Arabidopsis thaliana: one gene and its partner. The protein of the gene in region 2 interacts with the protein of the main gene of each other region in a pairwise test. Each region holds a gene or a part of one and is shown on either strand. Other genes may lie near its edges.

Region 1 (7,833 bases), 750 kb from region 2:
TTTGTCTCTCATGTCTCACATCGAGGGATTAATGAATAATGATACCACTATATTCATTTACGTGTCGGAATAGCCGACCGTGCTTGAATCTTTTATGTATAAACAAAATATAAATGGTACTTATAAAACTGTTTTACCATGGTAAGATGGTTTCCACGTAGTTTGCATGTACCACGTGTGAAAACCGAGTGTTGGGGAACCAAATGGCAGTGAGAGTATATTTGTATAATCGCGGACGGTGATATCACTAATATTATTTCAATAGTTGCAAATCATAATGAAAATAGGCCAGACACAGCAAAGTTTATGGGCCAAAGATTTCAATTTGGACCTAACAAATGTATGTAACAAAGGCTATAAAATTGAAGTGCCATACGAAACTAGACAATCAATTTCGCTTAGTATAATTATCTTTTTTAGCATAAATATAAAGATAACTAGAGAGATAAGGCAAAACTTTAAAAGATAATTGTGAGAAATAGATGATAACCCAAAGGTTTAGCAATCTCGAGAGTAAAAGAAAGAAACCATAAAACAATCCTCTGAAAACGAACAACAAAGTTGCTTACTACAAAATATCAAAAAGCAGATTGATTCATAGCTAAAACGGTGCGACTTCAGATTTACTCTTCGTCATCACCGTCTGCATCACCGCCACCTGAGGCTTTCTTGGAGGCAGACTTCTCGTTCCTTCTCTTCACTCTTCCTGGACGGCCACCACCGAAGGGACTGGTGAGGGCAAAGTCAATGTGCTTCTGTGAATCAAGTCTCACCATGAATGATGGAATGTTCACCAATTGCTTTCCAACCCTACAACAACACCCGAAACAAATATGAGTACCCAATTTTTAAGATCATATCAAAACACACTTCATATTAAGCCACTCAAGAGGCACAAGTTATCAAGACTTGCGTGAACTTAAGAGCAACCAATAAAACGTTTGAAGAAAGATCAAACCAAAAGACAGTACAAACTCATGAAAGACTACAATCTGTTAGACCAAAGAGACAGTGTTTAAAGAAGTGTAACACAAAGCCGAATCATTCAAAGATAATCATGAAATGGAAACAGAGAAAATGTTAATTTCATTTCAGATCCTATCAATTGATATAACAAAGATAATTCATACACAAGCACAAATAAATCGAAGAGATGCAATACCTGATATGCCTCTGCCTGATGAGGACACGAGAGTGATGGATAGACTTAGCCATACCAGACTTGAACACAATAGTCTGAAGACGACGCTCAAGAAAGTTCTCAACAGTCAAAGCCAAGACGTAATCGAGCTTGTTCTGGCTCTCATCAAGAAGCCCGTAACGGTTCATCCTACGGAGCAAAGCCTCACCTTCAAAGATCCTTCTTGGACTCTTCTCATCAAGAGTCAAAAGATCTCTAGCAGCATTACGGATACGGCTAAGAGAGTACTGCACTCTCCAGAGCTCACGCTTGTTACGCAGACCATACTCACCAACCAGCTTCAATTCAGAATCAAGACGCTCCTTCTCGTAAGGACGACGTGGTCCCTTGAAGGTCTTTCCATCTATTCAACAACAAACACACACATTCATACAAAATTATCAGCATAAAGGTTAGATCTTTGAGGCTCGTATCTAAGATTGATTCATTTCAGAAACTAAAACCTCAAAAGTTACAACAACCCAGATTCACAATCTATATATATAACACAATCAAAAACCTCAGATAATCCCTAATCTATCATTTGATATTGAGAGAAATCACTACGTAGATCGAATCGAAAATGAGCTGTGATATAAACGACGAAAAGGAGAGAAGAAGCTTACAGTTGCGGTAGTAGCAAACGTGCACCATATTTTCGTCTCCTTACTGCAAATTCGGCGATCTGAATAACTAGGGCACGCAGAGAGGAACGAAAGAGACGAATGAACTAATTTATAGGATTTCTTAAAACCCTAACGCTACACTCTCACTTTCTTTATTGGGCCTTTACGAATTAAGGCTTTATATTGGGCCTTTACGAATTATGGCTTTATATTGGGCCCGTTTTGAGATGTCGATTTATTTTTGAGTCTTGCGCTTGGGCTCGAATTTATTTTCTTAATCATAAAATTATTTTTATGCACTGAATAGTGGTACCTAGAAATGTCATTTGAACAAAAAAAAAAATGTCATTTTACATGTCTTTTGGCATTTAGATTATATCATTAAAAAAGTTGATGAAAAAAAAAAGATTATATCGTAAAAACAAATAATTGCAATATTTTGTTGAGATGTTTTACCAGTCTTGCCTTAATAGAACAGCAAGAATATATTATAAGTGAGTGGTGTCTCCAATCATATTAACCTAACGTAGTGCCTAATCTTACCAACTCTTAGTTGTATCTTTTACCATTTCAACAAATAAACAAACAGGTGTTAACTACTAGCATCGAAAATAAACACACAAAATAGTAACTGTGTTTTCATGTTTTTGAGTTATCTACATATACATTTTTGCAGCCACTATATGAAATAAATCTTCAAGTTGAGACTTATTTACAGTGGTTGTCACTGGCATTTAATAATTATTTTTGATAATTAGAAAGTAAATTTTCGAATTAAATATTTGACATTTAACTATCTTCTCAAAATCTCTCTACAATAACTACACGATTAGTTACTAAAATAAAACTTCTAAAATATTTAACATCATTTAAAAATTACAAAATTATCATTTTTGATATTGCTTTTTTTGCATGACTATAACAATTCCATTATACGCATCAACCCACATAGATATTTTATAGCAGTTAATTATTACAAAATTACAAAATATTTAGACAATGATTTATAAACATATCATAAATAAGATCAACATTAATAAAATAAATAGTTTTTTTTACTTAATAACAATTGTAAACTATAAAATAAAAATATTTTATAGATAGATACAATTTGTAAACTTTTATATATACTAACTTAAAAAAAAAAAAATTGTCCTTGCGGTATACCGCGGGTTAAAAATCTAGTAATGTCACATAATTGCAACAAATTCCCTCATTTCTTTCATAAATTTCTATATAAAGAAAAAAAGTAAAAATAAAAAAGCAAACTGATATAGAATTTAGAAAACAATTGGATTAATTGACTTTGTTATTCGGTTTTAGGAGGTTACTCATTTATCTTTCTTCTCACATTTGGTCGAAAGATACAACTCAAATCACCTCTCTAACAAAGATAAACTACTAACAAGAGTACAAACTACAAGACATAACAAAACAAAGTGGAATAGAAAAAAGATTTTGACCCGTTGACTAAAAATAAAAAATCTTCAAAACACAGAGAAGAAAAACCAAAAAAGAATTAGCCTCTAAAACGACGACGCTTTTTCAACGCTTTCCATTCTTTTCCTCACGTCGAAGAAAACGACCCATTTGTCGGAACAACACTCTGACGACTATCTCCTACTCCTCCTACTACTACTCCGCCGTTAGCTCTTCTAGCGCCGCTGCGTCCTGAAATCTTGTTGTTATGCATCCACACTTTGAAAACGCTTTTATCAACTCCAATCTCCCGACAAAACTCCTTAACCACCACGTCATCAGCTTTCGGCATCCTCCACCCAACTCTCTCCGAGAACTCGAACATCTTCTCCTTCTGATACTGACTAAACTTCGTCCTAAAACGTTTCCTAGACATTGGAACCGCCGTGTTAGCTCCTCCTCTTCCTCCAGAGAGTGCGAGAAGCATGTAAGAAGACGAGATCGGCGGTGGAGAAGCTGAATCATCGTCGTCTGGACTACGAATCCCCGCCAGATGAGGAGGAGGCGGTGGAGGAAGCTGGTGACGGTTGTGAGGTCGAAATTCGATCGCAGGGACGATGGCAGAGAGAGAAGATGGATCCTCCTCACGGCGGTGGAAGTTACGGTGGCAACCACAAGCAGCGCACGTTAGTGAAGCGGGGTCATTGGAGTTAAACGACGGTGACGGCATAAACTCGCCGCATCCGTCTAAAGCGTGACCGCCGATACCTGCTGCGTGATTCTTTAGACATTCTTTATAAGTCGCAACCGCAACCGCTTCAGATGCAAGATGATGGTGGTGGCAGCGTTTGCCGTTTGAGAAAGAAATAGGCTTCGCGGGCTGGATCCGGATCGGAGCTTCGATTTCGGGTTGTCGTGAATCCAAGTCGGATACTATAGTAGTTGTAGTAGCTATTACATCCATGACAACTCAAAACATTTAGGGTTTCGAAAAACAAGAAGAAGAAATGTTTTGTAAACTTGGGTTTTGGTTATTGTAATACAAATAAGATTTAAGAAACAAGAAGTATTATAATTTTCTAGAGATGGAGGAAGAAGAAGAATAGATGATAGAAGTAAAGATAAGGTAAAGATTGCACTAAACAAAACTGTTTTTAAATTGTAAACTCGAAATCTTTGGGATGGGTTTATGTATTTGGGAGAGATAAGATTAGAAAAGGGGAAATTTAAAACTATGTATTATTTACTCAAGTCTCTCATGGAGGAAGAAAGAGATGAGAAGTTGAAGACTGTTGATAATGAGAAATCCAAGTTGTGTGGTTGAGATTCATAATCATTATGTGTTTTTTTTTTTTTGGTTGAATATTTTTTTTTAACCATGGTTTGTTGACCCCATCTAGGGTTAATGAAAAAAGATAAGTGTAATAAATATAGGCTAATAAATAGAGTTCATAGAACAGCATCTAATGTGAGTCATGTCTTTTTCTTTTTGCTAAATTTGTATCTCCATGACGTTGACAACTTTAATAATATATACTCCAATTTTATATCAATATTAATCTTTTTTGCTACCTTTCAAATTTCAATTATTATTATTTCTCGTTATTTTTTTTTATTTTTTTTTCTCCTTATTTAAGCTGAAAATTTCGTGTGGAAGTAAAGCATGAATATAATTAAGGTTGATTCGGGTTGTTGATTCAATGATGTTAACTAAAGACAAAAGTTAATATTTCGTATTGTTGATCAAAAGCAATGTTTATCCAAAAATGTTAAAATCTCGACCTTCCCTAGTTTTATAGTTCATGGTTTGTCTTCAATCTTATGTCGAAAAAACTATCAACTTACAATCTTAAAAGTTACTCTACTACCAAATTTTTGCAAAAAAAACTATGACTAGCTTAATTTATTTACTTCTCAACTACTCCACTAATTAACTCAAAAATGTTTATTGACTATACATGTTGACGGTTAAAGTGGCCTTAAGAAAAGGAGACCACAACTAAAAAAGCTGACACGAGCAGTGGTGAAGAACGATGCCGTTTACTCCAAACTTCTTTAAAGCTGTATAAAAAAGTCTTTAATCAGAGAGGTGTAGACCAAACCTAAGATCGTTTGCAAATCCATTACTAATAATAAGTGATAAACTAACAATTCAAAGCAAAAACTCCATAAATAATTGATAGTATACCAATTTTTTTAGGAGATTTGCTAAAATATGACCGATAAATTTTATCAAAAAATTCAGACAAATTTTATGGAAGTTTTAATTTTGATGCTCTAAATCCAACGGTTGAATTCTCCGTCAAAATTTTGAATTTTAACGGGTTTCTAAAATGTCGTCTGTTTTCTTATAGTAGTAACGTAATTGTAAATCTCAACTCTTAAAACTTTTTCTTTCTTTTGACTAATGATGATATGAAATTGTCTAAATACCAAAAACAGCTAACACGCGTACATATCTTGCAACATGGCGCTACCTAATCAAACCATGTTCGTCTGTTATGGAAGACAATTCTCTTCTTCTCAAATACATTGAACTTTAACATTATACTTTAATTAATGTAGGTATATATTACGACTTGCACGACTTACCATAGCCAAAATAGGGAACCACCGTATCAACATTTCAAGCATTTAGATATAACTTGATTGTTGATTGGTCTTATTGTTACCGCACTACGATTATCTATAGATTTCATAGACAACAAAATAATATAACACATATATTATTGTTTTAGAAATAGTTATAAGGCTTTTTACTCTTTAGTTAGGAAGAATAAGGCAAACCGACATTAAATAAGCTTTATGCCCATAACAAGGATAATATTAATTAGTTTTTTTTTTTCAGGATATATTATCTGACGCAATTATTTGATGATCTATCTGTGATTTTTTCTTTCTTTCTAAAATCTATTATATGTTATGCCTGTATATGTTTTATATATACACATATCCTACTTTATGTATGTGTGCAAATGCAATTGGAAGGATTTATCATATACGATGAATGTATCGCATGGGTGGTTAGTATGCATTAATATGGACTGTTCTTAAGATTTGTGAATAAAGAAAAAAACAATGACATCTTCTTCTTCCTTTTTTTGTGTTATAAACGAAATGATTTTATTTTAATTGTATTGTTTTTGAATAGGAATGTGTAAAATTACAAGAAAATAATAATTCAAAAACTAAATATTGATGTGCATGGCAACTTGAGAAGTATTTGAGGAAACTTTAATGGCTAAAACAAGTTGGCTCTTGATTTCACATTATGCCAAAAACAAAGCTGGTTCGTCCATATATGATAATATGAGAGAAATTTATGTTTGAAATTTTAATTGAAATTTTAAACCCGATAGGATAAATATGTTTCTGATTCAATGAACGGATCTAGCCGCGTTGACGGGCCAGAGCCTGAGGCTTAGAATGTTGGCCCATTATTCGATGAGTTTATAACGGGCCGGGAAAACATTATCTCAGACTGTTACTTGTCTGTTTTGCGTAACACATATGAGAGAAACTCAGACTTGATTAACATCTATTTCCGAATAAAACTTGATTTGTTGAATCCAAACAAAGCCCTTCATCAAAATCCAGACAAAGACTAGAGGGAAACAAAACAGCAGATGTTATTGAATTGAGTGGTTCTGCTCTAAGATAGCATCATCTTTTACTCGAGAGATCACATGATCTAAAGGAAATGAAAACCACGTTTAGATTGTTGCAATCAGTATTCACGACTATGAAGCTGTCTTCAACTTAGTCGATTGAGCAGCTGCAGCTTTTGTGTAGATAGGGTGAAGAACATGACCACCTGTTGGATCAACATGAATCCATTTGCGTCCTGTAATCTTGCTTTTCTCGAACCTGACTCGTCCTTCCTTCAATGCAAACAGAGTATGGTCCTTACCAATCCCCACATAGTCTCCAGGATGAAACCGAGTTCCCCGTTGACGAACTATGATGTTTCCTGGTATCACACTCTGCAAAATCACACACACACACAGGCAAACATTATTTTCTTCACACAGACCAAGACTGATTTGATTATCAAAATCTTATCTCGCTTGTTATTTATTTTCTTACCTCTCCTCCGAATTTCTTAACACCGAGAAACTTGGGATTAGAGTCACGACCGTTCTTTGTAGAACCAGCAGTTTTCTTAGTAGCCCAACGCTTGAAGACCAAACTCAAGCCACTTGAAGAACCATCTTTAACATCCCCAAAACAAGAACAACAGCAACAATTACACAAATGAGTTAACTAGTTAAGATCATCAAAATATAGATTTTGAAAAGCGCAAATCTATACCGGAAATGCTACTGCCACTATAAGCAGGAACCTCAGTGATCAGTTCCCTCAAACTAACTCTTCTGCAAATGGATGCTGCTGAGTTTAAGAAATTCATTTTTTTCAGGAATCTGCAAGCAACAAAGAGCAATTCAAACATTAATCATTCAAGTAGAATCAAATCAATACTATACAAACCATTTCATCAAATCTTCTCGAGCAAATGGAGTTTTTTCATTCACACTCGAAACTCCACCATTGTCACAAACGTATTAACCTATTGACCTCAAAACCAATTACATTTCCGATCCGATTCCA
Region 2 (6,710 bases):
AGGAGGAGCAGGGTGAGAAGCGACGTCGGATTTGTGGAGATGAATCTGCAGAGGAATTGCTCCTTCCCATACATACTTGACCGCTTCCTTCGCCATTCTCTTCCCCGTCACACCTTCTCACGCTCGCTCGCTTCACAAAAAAAACTCAGCTTTCAAAACGACGCTGTTTCTGTATGACGTCATCTTCTCTTGCGTCTTTATGTGGTATTAATAAGGCGTACGTTAGACACTGCTTAATCTGTTGGTGGCTAACGTGAAAGGGTGTTAACCGGTCTAATTTGGTCTGGTCAAATTCTATCAAAATTTCAGGTTAGAGTTGGTTTCCGAATCGGTTCGGTTATTTGTTGGGTTTGAACTTTGAACACACACTTGTTCAGTTGGTGGTAACCTCACTGTTTTTCTTCTTTGCCTTCATTTCAAAGCAAACTCTTTACCAAACCTAATTTAATCGGAGATATTGAAGAGAGACACCTGAAACTTGCTTTTGTTGAACCATCAATTAAGAAAGATCTCATAATCATTAGATTTAACTGTATAAATTGTACACGAGTTTTACAGTTACAAACTTTTGCAGAAAATTTTAGCCTAGAGAACAAACACCTCAAGAGAAAACAATGAAACAACAACAAAAATTACATTGATGAAAACTTAGAAAGTCGAATGAATAGTAAATTTAAAGTCTCTTCTTTAGGGTACGTAAGAAAATGTGTTATAAGTGGAGATGAATCTCATGCTCTTCTTCTTCTGTTACCATCTTTCTCTTCTTGTATGGACCAAATCCTCTTGAATTTGACTCGGAGTTTGTTCTTCTGAGCTCAGAAAATGCAGACCTCTCACTTGGTTTAAACTCCCATTGACATAGCATTGTTTCGGGTTCTGTGGTCTTTTCCGTGTGTCCCGTATCATCCACCGAACCAGTGTTTGATCCAGTCGATGATCCTTCGTTTTGGACAGCCTTTCCTGAATCCAAACATCTATTTTCCACATCTTCTTGCTTAAGAGGGACTTGTATCCAGCAGCTCAAGAGTTCTTCTTGTGAGTTTCTTATTATGGGTAGTGTCTTGGATGATGAGAGTTTCCGTGGTAATGGCTGAATTGGGGATTTACAATATGTTGAAGTTGTTAGAGAAGAGGACATGCCTGAATCAGATACCAAAACTGTCTTCCCAAAGAGTTTAAGACTTTGCTTCGTTGGTTCCTTGATCGAGCTCTCCCTGTTTAAGAGTCTCTCACTAGGAAACAACTCCAGCTTCTGTACAAATTGATTAAACCAAGAATATTAAGCATTAAGCATCTAACAGCAGGTATTGCTGTTAAGTATAAATTCGGTTTTGTTTATGTCAAGTACCAGAGTCTCAAGCTCTTCAGGTGCATTTGCAGTGGTTGTAAGAGCAGCTGGTGGTGATGCAGAAGAAACTGGGGACAAGCTTCGATTGGGTGAACTCGAATCAAGGGAACACAATGCTTCTGATCCAACAGTGGACAACACAGAGGTTGGAGATTGAGTATCACGTTCTGAGGGAGAAACCGATCTACTTGTTTGATCTGCCTCGTTCCCAAACTTACGAGGGTACGGATGCGCTGGCTTTCTCTTGGGACGAGGAGGAGGTATTACAATCGGCTCTACTGAGCTCCCATCACCTCCAGTTGCTTCTCGAGCAACCTGTGTGAATACAACAGAACAAAGCCAAGTCAGAACACAAGTCTCCAAACAATGTATGTATAATGATTCCTTATTTATGCAGAACTTAGGTTTGCTACAGAGATTAGACTGATACTTTCTTTGAACAAGGGTAAAGATATAATAGCAAATAAGTGTATAAACCTTAGAGAAAAACTTCTGAGCATGGCTTCGAATCTGAACTGCGGTCTTTGAGCCCACATGTTCTGTTAGTGAAACAAACATATATTTTTGAGGGTCCAGGTAAGGCCATAACTCAGTAGCAAGAGATATTACTAAATCATTAATTTACCTTCTATTCGTCTCCAAGCTCGCCCGTATAATTTCAAGGCTTCAACAAACTTCTTGTGCTCTTCATCTGTCCATCTCTCTCTCTCTTTTGTTATCGTGTATGGCTTCCGTACCTAAGTAAGAAAAGATGAACTGAGCCACAGATCTTCACTTTACATAACAATATTTGACATTTGATGTTAAAAGAAACAAACCTTGGGTGCATAGTCATTTCCCCCAAAACTTTGGTCATTGAATTGTATCTGCTTGTCTGCAGTTTCTTCATCTCTATTCCTCAAAGAAGCGTTGGTACCCTAAAGCCATCATCAAGCAAAACGACTTTAGGAAACATCATTTTAAGGACTATGACACAAAGTGGCATTGGATTATTTACTTTCTTCTTCAGTTTCTCAATGAACATTCATTCACAAAGTCCAACTAATTAAACTCGATTTACATATCCTAATCACAAAATTCCAACACAGTCGATTCCATCTCAAGGATTCAAATGAATGTAGTTGCAACACACAAATCTAGAGAGAACTTATAGCTCAAAAGAAACAAGAGTCTGCAAATGAATTGCAACGAACTTGCTTTAACTCTAAGCTTTATTACTTAAATGTCCGTATACAGTATTTTAAACTCATAGATTCATTTGAGACCAGACCTGAATAAAGCAGAAACAAAACAAAAAAAGTGGATAAAAATCAAATTTTGAGACCAGACCTGAACATTTGCAGTCAACGGAGACGACGCCATAACTTCCCGGATTAAGATCTCGGCGGAGGAAAACAAAAAAAAACTCGAAAGGTGTGGAACACAGAAAAGGAAACACCAAGATAAATTCGCGAATCTAGACTTGAAAAAATCAGCTTAATTTCCTCTGTTCTCCGTCTGTTTCTATAGATCCCATAAATTGATTCGGTTTACTTAGGCAACAACAAACGATTTGCTTCTGAAATCAGAACCAATCTAAGCTTCCACCTTCCGGAAAAAAAACTTCCAGCAAACCAGAGATTTCTTATGTTCGATAAAGGAAAAGAGAAAAAAACTCTCGCTGGAAATCTTGCCGCAAATAAGGATAAGAAGAAGGTCGGAAATGAAACTCTCAGAGAAACTCCGAGAAGTTTTGGTAGCCGGAGTAAAGAAAAAGACAAGCTTTCTGATTCGGCGGAAGAAGAAGAAAACAGAGAGAAAGAAGAAGAAGAGAAGAGTTTGGGGTCTGTGAAGGAGGAAGAAGGGAATTAGGGGGGTGAGAAAATAGGGAAGACAAAAAGGAGGGTGATGCCACGTCAGCTTCTGCTATGTGCGCTTTTTCCCAATTTTTAAAAAATAAAAATAATAATTCTTATTGGTTTTCCATGGAACGCTCGAGAAACAGATGGAAAATCTTGTGGCTCACGTTCAATGTCCATCTTTGCCACGTGTCGCTCTTTCTCATATTCTTCATCTTCTTTTTTTGCAACAAAATTTGTACTAGATTTATTCATTTATCTCTTTGAAAAATCAAATATTTAATTTTTTAAAATGAATCTACTTGTTTTAAAACAGTTAGATTTGGTACTTCGATTATCACTGTATGTATTTATTTAATTCCCCTACTTTTCCTTTCCTTTTTTGACATCATTTCAATTGGATAATCTTTTAATATAAAATATCAGGAAATATAATATTTATGTAACAAAAAAGATTTTGCTGGACGGAGAAATGTGAGCCACCAGAAGATACTTTTAAAGGAAAATATGGAAAGGCGTACTCTCGAGAGTATGACTTCTTAGCTTACTCGCTTTTCATTGGTTCCACTACATGAGATAAAAATGTAAATTTGCGGGATAAATTCATTTTCTTTTCTTAACTATATCTCTATTGATCCATATATGGGTGGACATATTCCAAAATTTATGATTGGTTCTTTGGATCCGGATCCATAGGATTTGTTTGCGGAACCATCCAAATCCATATCTATCAAAAATACTTCAAAATAATTAAAACAGTAATATATAAAACTATAATAAATAAAAAGTTAAAAATATATTTTGATTTATTTACATAAACTCTTTATGAAAATATTTATTAGGGTATTTTAAAAAGCTACATATGAAAACATATCCGAAGTGGATATCTTAATCAAAATCAAATTATTCGAATTCGAAAACTCTTAACATTTTATTTTTGGACCAGATCAGAAGATTTTATTATACACTTTGTCCAATCTTAGAAAACATAGTCTATCCATTTTTTATTTTGTGGGGTTCTACTCTTTTTTCTCCATTCTTCCATATATGAACACAATATTTGATAGTAAATTTATATATAAATTATAACCATCATAATATCTAAATTCAGATTTTAAAAAAGATTTCTGTCTAAACACATTTTTGCAGGACACTAAAATGGTTTATTTTATGAAATGAGATCCACAAAATGGGTTATTCAAATTTGGACTGATATTAAGATTTGTTGATGATGCTTCTATACTAGCAATAGCAAGCCTCATACAAATGCAATTGATAACGTATCCTACCATGATTCCGATATACATATAAAATTTGGACCTCTAAATTTTCCTATATTCTTTTTCATGTCAAACTTATATGTTTAGTTGGGAAAAATATTGCACAGAATTTTACATAGTTGAAATGGTTTTGAATCACAATCTAAATAAATGAAATTCCAAAATCAAGTGAAAGTAGAATGAGATACTATTTTTGGTTCTTTTTCGTTTTGTCGTTGTCTTTGTTTCATATTTTACGAAAAAACGAAAACCATAAGTTAAATATCTTCTGCCTCTATATAAAAACATGGTGGGGGTCTATCCATAACGTAAGTCTACGTATACATACCATATAATATAATATATACAGATACGAATCTATCTATGATATTTATAATTAGTTTCAACTTTCTCGAATTAATATGATTATCCATCGTCCAGGTCGTCATCAATTTTCACAAATGTGTAGATATTTTATTGAAATCATTGTTAAGCACATAATTTAATATACTCCTCAAATTGTAAAAGTCATCCTCGGTGGAAGTGAAAGTAATTACACTTTAATTTATAATATAGTACTAATACTAATAATTAGTGAATGTCAGTGCACTTTTCTCCATGTCACTGATTCTTATTTTAGCCGTCTGTTCTACAGAAACTTGACATGTGGAATGACGAGAAGGAGGGTTCTAGCCACTAGTTTTCTTTTTATTTGTTTCTTATTCATTTTATTCACGTTCACTGATAATACAACAAAATTTCTCAGCCACAAGAATTCCTTCTCGTTCTTTACTTAGGGTTTCAAATATCAGAAAGTGGTTGGTGTGTGGCTGTTGTCTACTTAGAGTATTTGTTTTTGTCATCTCTTATAAAAATATTTGTTATTACCATATTTTCTAATGCAATAAAATCCAAACCTGTAGTGGAAATCACATTTATCTAATGTAACAATCATTAGTGAAAAGAAAATCCAAATTTTTTAAAAACAGATGAGAACATGTTCAAAAAATATTTAAGCGATTAGGATTTAGGAGGCGTAAGACGTGAAAAAGATAAAATAACAGATAACAATTCAGGTGTCGAAACGAAGTGTTAAAAAAACCTTTTAGGTCATTTGAGGAGTTTATGGTTAGGCTTGGTGGTGCTGGATGTTAGGTACTGGTCTACTGGATTGTGTGAAGTGACACGTGACAACCATTGTGATATTTTCCCTTTTCTTCACCACCATCCATTTATTTTTAAGCCAAAGTTTATATAATCTCAATTATATACATGTAATTATATATAGTTTTTTTTTGCCAAAATGTTTTCTTATTATTTGAGAAGAAACAAAAAGATTTGGTTTATTATAAATAAGATTTTTGTTTTTAAATGAAGCTGTCTATGTAATTTCAATTTTGTAAACACATGTTATTCATTCATTCTCAAATGTAACTTCAATGTTGTAGACATTTACAAGACATGTTATATTAATCATGTATTGCAAATAGATTTACATTAAGATAAGTATACAAATATTGTGATATCGATGTAACCTATTTTTTTGGATTGAGAACATTCAAATAAATAAATAAATAAATAAAATAGAAGAAATTAAACAAATATATATCACGGTTGTAATATTTTTGAAAGTGTTGATCATTTTTAAATAACCACAAAATACTATTGTTTTCCTATAACTCAAATCTGTTGGCCAATTCAACCTAATTAGAATTGCAAAATTTCACATGTAGCCATGTTAGTACAAATTCATTCGAAATGTGACTTTGGCATGAGTAGGAAAAAGATAAGAGATTTTACGAATCAATTATTTTAGTGAAGAGAAAAAGAATTGATGGGTGGGTCTACATATATAGTTTGGATAGATAATCCCTTTCTATAAGCTTCTACGTATGTTATGTGGTTCATATTTCTCGCCAACATGTTTTTGCCGCTTTATAGCCAAACGGGATAACAAAATAAATGAAGAAGCAGATATTCTTTTGAGATAAAGGTCTCTCTCTGACTTTGTGAAAATCAGTGTGAATGGTTCTATCTAACAAAAGAGATTGAAAAGATATGTGGTGTACAAAAAAGCCAGACCGGTGATCCTATTCATGGACCAACCGTATTAATTATGTCTCATTCATGATTATCTTCATATTTTCTTATCTTTTTGGATTTTGAGTTGTACAAGTGGTCAAACCATTTGGGACAATTGGCGCAATATGGTACAAGTACTATTGAATGAAACAAGTGGTTGGAACACAAAAACATATGATATTG

What was found. Proteins that work in one complex are often made in the same cells at the same time.
Region 1: the proteins of RVE1 (region 2) and HB30 interact in a two-hybrid assay, tested with the Arabidopsis thaliana proteins (one large-scale study listed by BioGRID).

What each region holds. Positions count from the first base shown.
Region 1 is NC_003076.8:4,934,501-4,942,333, forward strand, and holds HB30 (homeobox protein 30), read right to left. Parts: upstream 4,708-7,833; 5' UTR 4,190-4,707; coding exon 3,374-4,189; 3' UTR 2,965-3,373; downstream 1-2,964. Other genes in the region: AT5G15200 (Ribosomal protein S4), read right to left, coding at 624-810, 1,163-1,544, 1,807-1,834; AT5G15220 (Ribosomal protein L27 family protein), read right to left, coding at 6,966-7,208, 7,312-7,436, 7,537-7,633. UniProt on the Arabidopsis thaliana protein: Putative transcription factor.
Region 2 is NC_003076.8:5,689,726-5,696,435, forward strand, and holds RVE1 (Homeodomain-like superfamily protein), read right to left. Parts: upstream 3,268-6,710; 5' UTR 3,200-3,267; coding exon of another isoform or gene 2,975-3,199; 5' UTR 2,711-2,974; coding exon 2,678-2,710; intron 2,266-2,677; coding exon 2,167-2,265; intron 2,086-2,166; coding exon 1,974-2,085; exon of another isoform or gene 1,907-1,973; coding exon of another isoform or gene 1,888-1,906; coding exon 1,826-1,887; intron 1,664-1,825; coding exon 1,349-1,663; intron 1,253-1,348; coding exon 710-1,252; 3' UTR 501-709; downstream 1-500. Other genes in the region: autophagy protein Apg5 family, read right to left, coding at 1-96; AT5G17305 (uncharacterized protein), read left to right, coding at 2,975-3,199. UniProt on the Arabidopsis thaliana protein: Morning-phased transcription factor integrating the circadian clock and auxin pathways. Binds to the evening element (EE) of promoters. Does not act within the central clock, but regulates free auxin levels in a time-of-day specific manner.